Linked DNA regions of Pelodiscus sinensis. The protein of the gene in region 1 purifies or fractionates together with the protein of each later gene. This does not show direct contact. Links are inferred from orthologs where the notes say so. Each region holds a gene or a part of one and is shown in the gene's direction. Other genes may lie near its edges.

Region 1 (7,964 bases):
TTCCCTAGGGAATTAATTTTGGGGTCAAGATGGACACATGACCAGAAGCAAAGAGTGTCATGTAAACCCTCTAATAACTCTTCCCAGCACCCTCTACCAATCAGGATGGGTTTTGGCTTCACAGGACCACTCCGAGTGTAGGTTTGACCAAACCAGAGTCCTTCTGGGGCCTGGTGATCTGTCTTGGAAGTGGGTCATAATGAGCCTCTAAAAACTCCTCCCACTGGTTTCTACCAACTGTGATGAGTTTTGGCCACAGGGACCATCCTGAGAGTGGATTTGACTGAACAGGGTAGGTTTTGGGGTTGGGTGTCCCACCCTGAAAAGGGTCATGTGACCTCTCTAAGAGCTTCCCCAACCACCCCTTACCAATCAGAGCACAGCACCACTCCCAGAAACCCCAGCACCACATGGAAGAGGCCATCTTATCCCAAGAATGAGTGTTTCAGAAATCTTGGAAATCCTTTGAGGAAACAGGGACTCCTTCACCACCCCCTTGTGAACTTTGGACAGTTTTAGCCCTGAGCATTACATCAGTGACTGTTCCAAGGAGGAACTGTTCTGAGGAGAACCCTTTGGCTCAGCTGTTGCTGGATATGTTGGGACCAACCCCGATACCCAAGTGCTCATGGGACAGCCCAATGAGCATGATGGCTTCTCATCCAACCCTATGGAAGAAGGTGTCCCCAATGAACAAAGTCACACAGATAAATGACTGATGAAGAAATGATGGTTGATGATGGAGTATAATAGGGTTAGGAACCAAATCATGACTGTTTAAATCTAGCGTGGGAGCTCATGCTGCTTCCTTTCTGAAAATCTCTTGACAGCTCGATGATGCCTTTCTAAAGTCCTTTGAGAACCTACACATTGGTAGCTCTGTGGGAGTAAATCTGTCATGCATCAGCTGTTTTTGTTTGTGTCTGAGACACACATCTTGAGAGGAAAATCCAGAAAAGAACAAAATGGACGAATAAACTAGCTCAGGTTCTCTAATGGTTATCGTGTTCATTTTCACAGGCTGCTATAAAAGGATGTGTTAAACCAGGCAATTAATAACATTTGTTTAAATTTATCTGTCTGAATGCATCCCCTCCATACGTGTAATATCTTTTGCTAACACACTAACAGTCATGTCTATGTAGACGATTCTGTTAAAGAAAATTTCTTACACTCCCCAGAGAAGTTAGGAGCTTCAGCGAGGTAAACCCTCTGTTTCAAGCAGCCAAAAAGCATAATTATTTGAATAGAAGACAGGTAACAGCTTGGCTTTCAGATCAGGACTCTTACGCATTACACAAACCAGCTCAAATACATTTTAAAAGAAATAAAATCTTTTTTTTTCAGATGTGGATGTGCAATGGCAGCAGATTTGATGGACATGTACTGGTTCTCCAAACACAACAGCAGTTTTAAGTACATCTTAACAGCGATAAACATTCTATCCAAATATGCCTGGGCCTGTAGACATAAAAGACAAGATGGGTGGTGAGGTATCCAAGGCCTTTAACCTATTTTCAGAGAAGGTCTGAAAATTACAAATTGATTGGAGAAAAGAAATTTTAAACAAACTTTTAAGCACATTGTTAAAATGGTATGGCATTCACTATTTTGTTAGTAATAAACAGAGATTTAGCATTAAATAAAAATTTCACAAAACTTAATTCTACCATATTTCTCACCCATACCTATGCATCTATTTAACATATAAAAATCTAATAAAACAACAAACCAATAAACAAAATATATTTACTGGACTTTGTCCAACCATCAATTGTTGCTGCTAGTGAATTTTTCTTTTGAGCTTGTTTATTCTCTGGTCTATAGATCTCTCAAGTTTTGATTGTACTGTGGAGCAGACAACGTTATTATAAAACAATGAAATAGTCTCATAAGCTTAAAAATAAAATGCTCATTAGGATGTTTTTTCATTTAAAAAGTCATAGCTTTAAACAAAACAATCAATTTCAGGCTGTAAAAAATATACCAGTTTTGCTTTATTTTTAACACTCGTGTTTCTCCAAAACTCAATATTATATATTTTCAGAGTTAAATACAAGCCACATATCTCACATCACAGTCCAGCAGCAATTCAATTCAGGATCATTTCTACTGAAAGAGGATTGTCTCCAAAAACCTGAGTTTTTTATACCATCCTCTTTGTTTCAAACAAACTTTAAAATCTGTATTTAACAGGTTAGCTAAATCATCACAACTCTGAATTAATAGATAATTTAAGGAATTTAGGCATCCTTCTCCAAACCTCCCTCTTCTGTGATTGGGGTTGGGAGTGGAGAAATTAAGTTGTCTGCACAACTGGGCTGCTTTAGGCTATTTTATTTTATTAGTTACAATACTTTTTTTCTGTTTAAATTAAAAAACAAAGCACTGAGGGCCTTCTAACAATATTAAACAATAATTCACCATACACAATCATCCTTAATGTTACAGTAACCTCTCTAGAGTGGGGGAGCCTTTGAAGATATCAATGTATATCTTGAGGGGTGGTAGGTTTTTTCATGCTTAAAGTTTTGGGTTGTTTTGAAAAAAAATGGAAGTATCATAAGCATGTTTTCATAAAGGTCAGTATGATGTCTCTTGTTTGTTGCACCATAAAAGAACCAGATTTGTTAGGAATATTTATCAGGTTCTTTCTGATGCTGGAACAAGCCAGGGTTATCTCTGGGACTAATCCTTTTGTGAGTATTCTGATCAAATGCTTATGAATGTTTGTTACTGTTTGCGTCTAGTAACTGCTTATTCTTTAGGTTTTTAGACATGTTTATAGAACTCCATTGGACAGTTTCTATATAATCCCAGGAGTTGGTAGAACTCTATTAGGCAGTTTAAATAAACCCATAGGAGTTGGTTGAATACCATGGGTCACTGTAGTAATACAAACTCATTAAAAGTTTAAAAAATAATTACAAAAAATAAACAAAGGTATAGCCCAAAACTGAAATATTTCAAGGATTCACAATTCTCCACAATACTTTACATTTTCTGTAAAAACATTTAAAAGCCAGATGTGCTTTTGCGCAAGAGAGCATCCACACTGCATAGGTACTCTTGCACAAGAAAGCTTTGATGGCCATTCACAGAATGGCCAGCAGAACACCTGTGCTTTTTCCAATAGGGGTTTCTTGCATCAAAACACCTCTAGAGCACCCACACTTGCCTGTTTGTGCAAGAGCCGTAGTGCAAAAAGGAGTTATTCCTCATGGGGAGAGGAATAACTACCAGCAAAAGCCCTCTGTTCTGTCAATTTTCTTGCACAAAAACGTGCTTGAGGTGTGGATGCTCTGCCAGTTTTTGCGCAAAAACCTTATAGTGTAGACATAGCCTGAGTGGATGTTTTCAGAGCTATCCACAATGACTCCAAGATCTTTCTCTTGAGCAGTTGTAGCCAAATTAGTCCCCATCATACTGTATATACAGTTGGGATTATTTTTTCCAATGTACATTACTTTACATTTATCCACATTAAATTTCATTCGCCATTTTGTTGCCCAATCACTTAGTTTTGTGAGATCTTTTTGAAGCTCTTTACGATCTGCTTTGGTCTTAACTATCTTGAGAAGTTTGGTATAATCTGCATATTTTGCCACCTCACTGTTTATCCCTTTCTCTAGATCATTTATAAATAAGTTGAATAGGATGGGTCCTAGGACAGACCCTTGGGGGACCCCACTAGTTACCTCTCTCCACTCGGAAAACTTACCATTTATTCCTACGCCTTGTTTCCTGTCTTTTAACCAGTTATCAATCCAAGAAAGGACCTTCCCTCTTATCCCATGACTATTTACTTTACTTAAGAGCCTTTGGTGAGAGACCTTGTCGAAGGCTTTCTAGAAATCTATGTAGACTGTATCCACTGGATCCTCCTTGTCCACGTTTGTTGACCCCCCTCAAAGAACTGTAGTAGAGTAGTATGGCATAGTTTCCCTTTACAGAAACCATGTTGGCTTTCCCCCAACAAATTATGTTCATCTACGTGTCTGACAATTTTATTCTTTACGATAGTTAGAAACGGTCTGCCCCTAATTTGCAATGCAATCGGTTCTGGAGCTCGCGTCGCAAGTCGGGGCCGTCGTAACTCGAGTCTGCATTTCTGACAGACATCGTTCCACTGTAAATGCGGGGACAGGGATGTAAGTCGGGGGGGGGGGTTCGGCCCCTTCAGCACTTATGGAAAAGGCCGTAAGTGCGGGGGCTCGGAACTCAGGCCGTCACAAAGCGGGGGCCTCTTCTAGTTGAACCCATCTCAACCCCTTTAGAATGAACACGCTCTCCGCAGCCCCGGTGCTTTCTGGAGCTTGAACCAGGTGGGTCCCTCTCTTCTGGACTGTCTCGAACGCGCCCAAGCCCAGCGGCGGGCGGGAAGTAACACGGGGGGGATCGCTCCCTGCTCGCCACCCTCAGACAGGACCCGCCGTCCCTGCGCCGCCAGCCACAATGGGCGGGGTCAGGAGCTGTAGCCCCGCCTCGCAGCGGTTGAGCCCGCCCCCTTCCTCCCAGCTTGGTCCGGGCCATCCTTTGAGCTAATCCCACTCTTCTCCCTCCCCCCCGCTCCGGCTCTTTCTGTCTCGTCATCCTCTGAGTTCCGCCCCCTGGGCTGCCGAGGCCAGCTTCCTGTCTCCTCACTTCCGGTTGGCTGCCGTGCGCGCGCTGCTTGCTTGCGGCGGGGCGGTCGAGGCCTGGATCCCTCACGTGGCGTCGCCTGGCGCGCGCGCGGGCCGTTGGCGCTGCGGCCGCTCTCGCTGACCCGGGCCCCCTCCCTCACCCGCCATGCTGGTGCTTTTCGAGACCGCGGCGGGCTACGCCGTCTTCAAGGTGAGGCAGGCGGCAGGGGCGCGGGGCGGCCCGTAGCCTTCTGCAGCAGGAGCGCCGGGTGCTGCCCCGGGCCTCGACCACGTGCCTGAGGCGAGAGCCCCGGGTCTGTCGCAGCTGGGCCTGGCGCCGGTACCGAGTAGAGGCGCGAGGTCCGTGGGAGGCGGTGGCTGGGCTGGGGCGCAGGTTAACGCAGGAAAGGGAGGCTCTGCCCTCGCTGCCTGCTCGGCCCCCCCGGGGGTCTCCCTCGCCGGGCTACTTGCAAGGCAGGTTTTTCTGCGTTTGATCCGACAAGGTCAGCCCCTGCTGCCTAGGGCAGTGGCCGGGTAGAAAACCGGACCTGGGCAGTCGTGCAGCGTGTAGCACAGGGATACATCGCTTCCTCGCGGATCCTGCATAGATCGGCTTCTCTCCGAGCCTGAGCTTTGATTCATTCCGCAGGATAAAGTGTAATTGTAAATGTCAGTGACCACGTGTCTGCAGCTGCAGCTTTTCCCTGTGATCTCTTGTGGTACCAACAACTCACTTCCTGTTTGCATCCGGGAAGAGCAAGCTGGTCTTGCATTTGTTAATTTTAGCCACCAGTTTTGGAATGAAACAGATCCGTTAAGAATTATCCCCTTGTGATAACTATTAGCAGAAATTGTGGCGTTTATACAACTAACTAATGTTCTATTATTGCCTTCCAAATATGTTCACATTGCATCTGTTTCTTCTGGGACTTTTAGCGTTTATTGCAAGTAATATTATTCCTTTAGTCCCTAAATGAAAGCATTGAGGCTAACTTAATAGTAATGGTATTTTAAATACTTCATTTACAAGATGTGTTCAATTTACATTTGTCTGCTAATGTTTATGTAAAATGCTTAGCTTGACTGGTGTACATTGAAAAGCAAAGATTCCATTCCAGAAACTTTAACTGGACACACAATCTTATAGGGATGTAAGTGACTAGTCAACTATCTGATAAGCAAAAGCTTATCAGAGGACACACGGAGGACTGGTCACTTCCCCCCTCTCCCTTACTGCCTCTATCAGAAAGAGGCAGCAAGGCGGGGGGAGAGCAAGGGATCCTGGAGGGACTGGCTTTCTTGTTCTTCCAGCTCTGGGAGGGAGAAGGAGCCCAGTGGCGGTGTTCCAACTTCGAAATGTACAAGAGTTTCCACTGCGGTGGAGGTTCCCCACTCCCGGTTTACCATATATGATAAAAATTTAATGGGGGAGAAGAGCAGATTTCACAGTCCATGACATGTTCTTCATAGTCATGAATTTGGTAGGGCCCTACTTTTTTTTATATAAGCATAGATGGGTTCAGGAATTCTCAAACTTCATTGCACTGCAAACCTTTTCTGACAGACTATATGTAAGGGCTGAGGATGGGAGGAGGTGGCGGATGTAGTGTAGACCAAGTCTTAGTGCACTGCTTATTAAGAGCTCACAGAAATATGGTAGACTAGTGAAACTGTGGATTAATCTTTTGGGAGGCAGAGGTGGATTTCTTTTGTTGATAGCAATCTGAAATATTAGTCTGTTAGCCAAGGGTGGTGTCTTTAAAATTTACTCTGAAGGCTGTGTAGGTCTGAATGCATTGTACTGCAAAGAGAGTAAGTCCTGAGCAGCAGGTGGGAGCTGGTCTGTGCAGGGAGTTGATTTTTTAAACCAGCTTATGTTGCTGCCTCTGGTACAAAGGCTAGTCACCATGTAACTCAGGGTTTCCCAACATATGGGTCGGGACCCAAATATGGGTCGCCATTACATTTCAAAAGGGTTGCCAGGTGTCTTCCCCAGGTGGCTCTGCCTTCCCTCCTCCCTGTTTTTGAATTGCCTTAGGTCACCAAGTATTCCTGAATTGTCAAAATGGGTCCCCATCTGGAAAAGATTGGGAAACACTAATGTAACTGAAAACATTTTTTTTGTAGTTAACATTTATTTTAGCAATCATGTATCTACCATCTCTAGATCCAGTGTTCCCTCTAACTTTTTTCTGTCCACCTGCAGAATAAATATTATGTGCCCCTAGGCATATGCAGATGTGCATCAACAGTAGAAACATGCTGCTGGCTGTGAGTGCTCTGCTAATCAGCTGGGCTGCATTTGACTCTCTCCTGGGTGGCTGCCATGTGCTCAGCTTACAGGGAACATTGATCTGGCCCCTCCACACTCACTGACAGTGGTGCAGGAAGCAGAGCTGCGTGGCCCTGGCTCACTCTGCTCCCCAACAGTGAATGTGGAAGCAATCCCAGAGCACCAGTTCCTCTGCTCCCCTCCTGCTAGTGTCTCTAAGCTCCGAAGGTCAGCTACTTAACATGTGTCCATTCCTCCCCCCTTCTCCCCCCCCCTCCACACACCTGCTCCAAACGTCTTTAAACATTGGTTTCATTTTTTATCCACAGGTTCTGGATGAAAAGAAACTCCAGGAAGTTGATACTTTGTGGAGAGAATTTGAAACTCCTGAAAAAGCAAATAAAATGTAAGTCTTTCCATGAAGAGCTAACAGCCTGGGTATGAAAGATAACTGTGTTTAATTGTGTACATAGGAGATGAAGGACTAAGGCTTTGTGTTTCAGTATAGTTCACAGCTTTTACATGTTAAAAGAATGATCTGACCCAAGATCTCTGGGTGCTAGAGATCAGAGTGAAACCTAATATGGATGTGTGTAGCTGTGGCAGAGTATCTGTTCATGGCAGGGTTCTTACACCTTCCTCTGAAGTGTGACACTTGATACTGTGGGCCAGAGTACTAGCCTAAATGGACTTTGGTCTAATCCAGTTATGCTATTCCTGTGTTCTTAAAAAGATGTTGGTCTCACTGTGCCTTGCAGCATAAGCCTTGAGCTGCTGTTGGAGGTGATGCAAGTTCAATTTAGGAATTTCAGAGAGGGTACCTTTATCTATGACCTTGCTTCTGTTACAGATAACATAGCCTTTTCTGAGACAGATTAATCAGAATTGGACTAGAGTCAAAAATCTAAGCCTGGAGATAATTGTCCTGGGTCCCAATGGCTGCTTAAGTACAACTTTGTATAGATAAGAGAGGATTATTACAGAAGGAGGAGGAAGTTAGGATCAGGGAGGTGATATAGCAGATGCAACTGGAACTGTCCATAGACTTTTTGGATTGGTAAACTGATGGG
Region 2 (7,635 bases), on another chromosome or scaffold:
ATGGAAAAAAATAGTATGTGATAGGTAACTGGGATGTGTACAGATTACTTAGTAAGCATCATAAAGGTAATGCTTATCAGGTAACAGTTAACCATGATCCGGAAGCTGCTCCAGCCCAGCTGATTTAGGTCCTGCGCTGTTGGTTCCCAGCCTGCACAGCAGTAGCCCTCTGGCAGCAGCCGCCACCTGCGCCCCTGCACTGTTGCCTCTGATACAGAGGCAGCAGCGCACAGGGAGGCTGGAGGGCAGCAGCTCCACCGAAGCTGGAACATGCAAGGAGCCGGTCTAAAACCTGGCTCCCCACATACACTGGCTCCCGTAGAGGTTCCCTCGCACCCACGTAAACTTAACTACTAAAAATTTTCACGGTTATACATATACCAAAAAAAAACCCAAACAAATTTTAACATAGTTGAAAACAACGAGCAGTCCTGTGGCACTTTAGAGACTAATAAATATTAATGCTAATGAATGAAACTAGGTCCAACCTAGACATGAAAACTATTTTTAACAGGATGGATTGATTTTAATCAAGGAGGTTCAAATCATGCAATTAAATCATGATTTAAATCACCAAATGGAAAGCCTTGATTTAAATTATCAATTTTAATCAACTTCCAGTTGTACTTCAGTTATTTTCTTAAAAAAATTCACGTTGCTTAATATAAGTTAAAACATGTTGATACACAACTAAATACAGCTTTTATTCTAGTTTTACTACTTTTTTTGGCTACCTAGGAGGGTACACGATAACTTTATTTAAGCAATTACAGCAGCTTCATATTTTCAGATTCTTATTAACTGTACATTCTTAATTTGTTAGACAACATTCCTAGTATGGTCACTTTTTTTTCTTTACTAGATAATGAACATTTTGTTCATGATTTGTTTCATGCTGTATCAGGATGTTAACTGGAATTTAGCTGAACACATAAAACAGCATATAGAATTGTTTTTATTAAACAATACAAGCTCATAGTACAGTTTATGACCTGTTAGGTCAACATTTAATAATGTGGCCTAAGAAATTAGTTATCCCTTCAATTCTTTCCATACTAAGGATGTTGGGGGCAGGAAGGGGAAAAGAGGGGAAGTAACTGGGTAATCATGAAGTTGATACTATTTGATATTACATGATTAGTTAAAAAGAGAAGGCTCTATCCCCGCGGCTCTGCAGTTTAAATGTAGTAAGAGCCGGGCGCGCAGGCAGCACAGCTCTTACTTCATGTAAACTGCAGAGCCACAGCAGGGGTAGCTCCTGGACTTGGCATGAGCCGGGCTTCCTCAGTCCCAGCTGGGACTCCCAAGCTGCTGTGGTGAAGCAGCCCCTGTCCTTGGCGGTTGGCCGCAGACAGGGGCTGCTTTGCCACAGCAGTCTCCCTGGCCCCTTGCCGCACGGCTGCCTCAGAGACAACAGCACAGGGAGGGGGGAACAGCACCACGGAGATGGTACTGCAGGGAACCGGCTTTTAAGCCGGCTTCCCCCAGCACCAGCTCCTGCTTCTCTGCCCTTTGCTGTCTGATATAGAGGCAGGAAGGGGAGGGGGAAATGTGAGTTGTCGACACATCTACCTGATAAGCCCAGGCTTCACAAGCAGTCAACTAATCGACTAAGTAGTCGACTAATCAACTACTCTTACATCCCTATTCCTTACACAGAAAAGCAGTCTTTAACTCAAAAGTTTTTGGTAGATGCTTGTGGATTTCAGCATATTTCTATTTAAGTGTTTTAAGATTAATATAGGAAGGAATATTGCAAAAAAGGATCTAGGGGTCATAGTGGATCATAAGCTAAATATAAGTCAACAGTGTAACACGGTTGCAAAAAAAAAAGCCAACATGATTCTGGGATGCATTAACAGCAGTGTTGTGAGCAAGACACAAGAAGTCATCCACTTTACTCCACGCTGATTAGGCCTCAATTGGAGTACTGTGTCCAGTTCTAGGCAACACATTTCAAGGAAGATGTGGAGAAATTGGAGAACGTCCAGAGAAGAGCAACAAAAACGATGAAAGGTCTAGAAAACATGACCTCTGATGGAAGACTGAAAGAATTGTGCTTGTTTAGCTTACAAAAGAGAAGACTGAGAGGGGACATGATAGCAGTTTTCAAATATCTAAAAGGATGTTACAAGGAGGAGGGAGAACAAGTGTTCTCCTTGGCCTTTGCTGATAGGACAAGAAATAATGGGTTTCAACTGCAGCAAGGGAGGTTTAGGTTGGACATTAGGAAAAACTTCCTATCAGGGTGGTTAAACTCTGGAATAAATTGCCTAGGAGGCTGTGGAATCTCTATCACTGGAGATATTTAAGAGCAGGTTAGATAGACATCTATCAGGGATGATATAGACTCTGCTTGGTCCCACCATGATGGCAAGGGACTGGACAGGATGATCTCTCAAGGTCCCTTCCAGTTCTAGTATTCTAGTAAGTTCACACTAACAAATTTGGTATTAAATTCAGATTTCATTTAAAGCAGGTTTATTTTTGCAAAGAAAGCATTATAATTTAAATATGTTTTAAAAGCCAATTTAAACAAAAATTCATTTAAAATTTGTTATCCATTCTGAATTTTAATAAAAAGTGAAATATAACATAACATAATAAACCTTTTATAGAGAAAACATGTCTGGTTACATGAGCTGTCCCATTGATTCCAGTAGTACTGATTATGTGAATAAAATAAATGAAGGCTCTGCTGTCTACCACAAATGACAATATTCAGGTAATGATCAAGTAAATGTTGATCTGATATATAGACAATGTGTAAGGCCAGCAAAAGTAATGTGTAAGTAGCATTAACAATGCTTCCCCTGAAGAGAGAAAACAGTATATCACACAACAGACATATGTATGTAAAATATCTTAGGTACCACAACACAACTACATGAAAAAACCTTAGGGCCATGTCTATGCTAGGAACCTATTTTGAAATTACTAAATTTGATTTAAGAACTCTTGATTTAACAAATCTGTATCCTCACTACGAGGAGGCATTGAAATTAGTCTGAGGCAGGCTCCATTAACGTGATCACGTTACCTGAGACTTAGAGCCCCGAAAAGCACTCTGGGGAGCTGCAGGAGGCATCCCAGAGGCCAATAAGTGTGAATTAGTGTCACTGGAGAGTCCTGAAATTACTATTTCAGGATTAGCATTACTCCTTTTGAAAAGCAGGAGCGCAGAGTTCAAATTCCACAGCTTGTTGTTTCAAAGTAACGGGCATGGTAGTGTGGACGCACGGCTTATAAATTCGAAGTTGGGGGAGGAATTATTTCAGAATAAGGTCCCAGTGTAGATCAGGGCTAGATGTACATGCTTCTCTCTCATCTAATGTATGGAAATATATAAAAACTGAGTGCAGCCTTGTAGCATCGGGCAAGTTGCAAGTGTGCTCCTCAGCTGTCACAAAGAAACAATGCCCCTGATTTACAGCACACAGAAAACTAACTTGTTAAACAGGAAGCTTGCCTGAGGCGGAGCAGGGCAACAGCGCTGAACAAAGGGGAGTGACATGTGTGGACCCCTAGAAATGTCCACGGGAGGTGCGGAGCCCTTTGGAAATCTTAGACGCAGACCGCAGCCTGAACACCCTGGCAGGGCGGTAAGTGCTCAGCGAGCCCCCAGGCGGGTCCCTCGCTAACAGGCCAGTGCAGATCAGCCTGGCAGCAGCACATGGGCCTGCGGGGGGGGGGGGCAGCACTGAGCCCCAGCTGGGGCGAGACCGACTCCCCCTGAGAAGCCCCCGCCTCCCGTAGCCTGCGCGGAAGTCCCAGGCCGCGCCCCCTCGGGGAACCCGGACACAGCACGTCCCCTGCAGGCAGCTCCGGGCTGGGGCCCGGGCCTGAGGGGCATTTAGTTCTCTAACGCGTCCTCACCCTGGCTGAAGTCTTCATCCGGGTCCGCCTCGGCATAGCGGGCAAAGCCTGGGGGCAGCGCCGGCCCCATCAGCTCTCGGGCCATGGCACAAGCCCCTCGGCCGGCCCAGCGATGGGCGCGCTTGCGTATTGCGTCGCGACCCCGTGTTGCACGGGCGGTTGAGAATCCCCCATAACCCTTCCGGCGCTGTATGATGACGTTTCTCGGCGGCATGCCCGGCAGCAAAGTTCCCTCACTCTGCCTTTGGGGGCGTGGTGTTTACAGTGGTGCCGGAAGTGACGCGTAATGCAGCGGCCTCCTGTGTTCCCATGTGGAGGCGGCTGCTGACAGGGGCCATATGAGTGACCCGAGTAGCACCGGCGGGGTCTTTGCGGGGCCCGACATGAACCCCTTCGCCTGGTACCCGCCGCCGCCTCCCCCCATGCTCAGGCCCCCCGTGTTCTGCCCGCCCCCGGGACCCGCAGCCTGGGACCCCAGCTTCTGGGCACCGCCGCCTGGGGATTATCTGCCGCCTGGCGCCTGGTACCAGCCATCGCCGGTGTACGGGGAGCCGCCGCCGACAGCCCCGTACCCAGGTAGGGGAGGCCCTCCACCTCCGTGCGGGCAGAACGGACACCAGTATCCCTGCCTCCCCCCATATCCCTTCTCCAGCGGGCAGAGTGGGGTTTTTCCTCCTCTGCATCTAGAGTCTTGCTCCTCACGTGCACCCTGGTTTGTGCATCTGTGTAGGTGGTTGTTGCTGCCCCCAGTTTTTGGCTGCTACTTGCATAGGACTAAACGAAGGGCGAGATTTCTCATGCTCCTTCCCACACTACTCAACCCTGAAACTTAAGACCAGGTTTTTGCCTTTTATTTGTCAAAAATTTTGGTGACATGGTAACATATCTCCAAGGAGGCTGTGTCTCTTTGGGATTTGCCATGTTGATTATGTCATTAGAAAACAGAAACCAAAAAAATCGACGTTTATCTTCCTTTTAAAATAATAAATCAGTATTTTAAAAGGTTTTTTAAGTGGCCACGTTAATTTCCAGGCAATATTGTGATTACACAGATGATATAAGGAATATCAGATGGATAAAAAAAGCTTCTGAATTTCTGTTTTTCATTAAAAGAATTTTTATAAGATTATTCCAGTTAAGTGCACTGCTTGCTTTTCAAACATAATATGGAAGAAAGTGTTTTAACAGTTCTATGTAACTTAATTTTTCTTATACATTTTTTTTTATTAAAGGTGGAGATTGCTATTTTACTGAAGAATGGCAAGCTGAAGAAACACCTTCATTTTTTAAATATTCGCCAGGTAGAAACTACAAGCAAAAGGTACTTGTAACAGCTATTCTGTGGGCCCTAGTACTTCAGTTGTGCTTCCGGAATACAATACTCTCAGTTCTTCCATACAAGTTACGTTTATAACATAATCCTGTATTGTAATATATGTTAACCCATTGTTATAATGAAGACCATTCCATGATGAGATGAGTACAAGTTCTGGATCCATTCAATAGAGGGATACTCTAATTAACTCACTTAAATTGTACACTATGCACATGATTTTATTATTGGGATGTACTAACGTTACAAGAACCTTTATTTCTTGCAAAATAAAGGTAATGGGTCTGCTTTGTCAGTTGGGTTGTTGGCAGTGATGATGCTTAGTAAAAAAAAATTATATGTAAACTTGAGCACATTTAAGTTGGAAACTGAGAAATGGAATATAAACATTTGATTACTTTTAGTCATTTTTCTGAATAGATTATGTATCAAGTGTTTTGACTATTGAAACTCCAGTTTTATAAACTCATTTCAATATTTTAATGAAAGCAAGTTCTGGCATATTGGTTTCTGTTTTAAAAAAAGAAATACGCATAACAGTGTCACTCTTTTTAACAGAACAAGAGGAAAAAAGAACCGGTTTTCTCTAATTATTGTGATACTTGTGATCGTGGCTATAAAAACAAAGAAAAATATGACGAACATGTTGCACAGCACGCACAGGTTAGTTTAATTAGGTGGGAGTGTTTGTTATAAAAAAGATTTTTAAAATAATTTGTAGCCACACAATTTTGGCCTGTAATTTCATAATCTAAGCAGGTTTTAGGCCCAGTCAGTACTTGAGTGGGAGATCACCAACGGAGAATCACTTGCTACAGGAACCATTGGTAGGTGGCACTTTCATTGGAGTCATCTCCTTCACTGACTGCAGGTTGGCCCTCCCTGATTTGGCACCCTAGGACCTAAACTGTCCTGAGCCAGGGAGTTTGTTGGACCAGATGAGGTTAGTGCTCCCCTGCTGGCTGCCTGCTCCCAGGCTCCTCTCCCCAGAAAGGCCATCCACCTCCACCATCTTTGCTTCATTTGGGGTGTTCTTGGCTGGTGGTGGCTGGTCACCCTGGCCACACTGCCATTAGGAGTTCCCTGCCACTAGTGCTGCTTCTGCTGAAGGCTCTCTGGCCAGGCCTCCCACCACTGGCAGCCCCTCTGCAGCCAGCGGTTCCTTGGCTGGGGCCAGGATTCCCCAGACATCTGGCCCAGCTGATGCCGAGGGTTCCCCTGCTAGGACGGGGGCTCCCCAACCACACCTGGCCCTGTTGAAATGGGGGGGGGAGGCGATTCCTTGGCTAGGTCAGGGGCCCCCCAGCTGCTGTCTCGTGCGGGTGCTTCTGGTCCAGCCTGAGCTCCCCAACTCCCATGTTGTCTCCCACTGCCGCCTCCGGTGCAAGCAACATCCGTGGCCTGCTGGACTATGGATGTTACTGGACCAGAGAGTCCTGGATTTGGGAGGTTCAACTTGTACAAATAGTGCAAGGAGTCACTGTTTTGCTATGCGTGTGCTTTTTTGATTAAGGTATAAAACTGAGGCCCTAATTCAGTGGTGGGGAACCTTTTCTGGTTCAGGGAAAATTGACAGAAAAATCAGTCGGGAGCCATACACAAGTGAGAAGCAAAGGAAAAAAAAGACATTTCCTCACTGATGTGGCCCCCAACTGAGGAGGAAGACACTCTCCACATACCTCTTGCACACCAGAGCCTAGGGGACCCAGGCTAGTAAATGTTGTGTGCGCCATCTCCTTGGAGGGGCAGCGGGGTGGCTGGAGTGCCAGTGTGGATTCCCCAGTGTTGGGGGGAGTCCTGAGCCTTAGGTGGCCAGATCCAGGCAAGCTGAGGGATGGCATCTGGCCACTGGGCCTGAGGTTCCCCATTCCTGCCCTAATTGAATACATAGGTTCTGTCTTACAGGCATTGGGTTGCTGATCATGTTGGTCTTTTGATTCATAATGGTAAATGTAAAATTGGTATTTAGCAGTTGAAATTATTCATGATTTATGAACAAGCAATAACATTTTGTGTGAATTACTGAAGTGTTCAGGGGTGACACTGCTGGTGGGGTTTGCCTTGTTTTGACCAACTATAGATAGCAGTACAGCTTGAAGCTCTTCCCCCATGCTCTGTGAACAGAAATATGCATAACTCAAAGATGCTTTAGACAAAGTCCCTCATATAACCTATCAATTTTAATGTTACAGTCTGTTGCCTCTGTATACCCTGTTTTGGTACGTGTATTATTTAGGGATATGGTAGTGTGAACATGTTTACCTTTATGGTTACATGCAGTGCCCTCCTCCGCTGCTGCCTCTGATACAGAAGCAGCAGTGGGAGGGAAGAAAGGGAGAAGAGGTAGGTGGGAGCCAGTGCTTGCAGGGAGCCAGCTCCTCCTACCACCAAGTGAAAATTTCAGTGGTTACATGTTTACCTGAATA

The links. Proteins that work in one complex are often made in the same cells at the same time.
Region 2: the proteins of NOP58 (region 1) and NUFIP1 purify together in Homo sapiens (co-immunoprecipitation; 3 studies listed by BioGRID and IntAct, with this or other methods). This does not show direct contact. The link is inferred for Pelodiscus sinensis from reciprocal best matches to the Homo sapiens genes NOP58 and NUFIP1.

The regions. Positions count from the first base shown.
Region 1 is NC_134717.1:56,310,458-56,318,421, reverse strand, and holds the start of NOP58 (nucleolar protein 58), read left to right. Parts: upstream 1-4,630; 5' UTR 4,631-4,788; coding exon 4,789-4,833; intron 4,834-7,223; coding exon 7,224-7,300; intron 7,301-7,964. UniProt on the Homo sapiens protein: Required for the biogenesis of box C/D snoRNAs such as U3, U8 and U14 snoRNAs. Part of the small subunit (SSU) processome, first precursor of the small eukaryotic ribosomal subunit.
Region 2 is NC_134711.1:286,757,759-286,765,393, reverse strand, and holds the start of NUFIP1 (FMR1-interacting protein NUFIP1), read left to right. Parts: upstream 1-4,040; 5' UTR 4,041-4,214; coding exon 4,215-4,452; intron 4,453-5,108; coding exon 5,109-5,197; intron 5,198-5,767; coding exon 5,768-5,872; intron 5,873-7,635. Other genes in the region: GPALPP1 (GPALPP motifs-containing protein 1), read right to left, coding at 3,877-3,961. UniProt on the Homo sapiens protein: Binds RNA.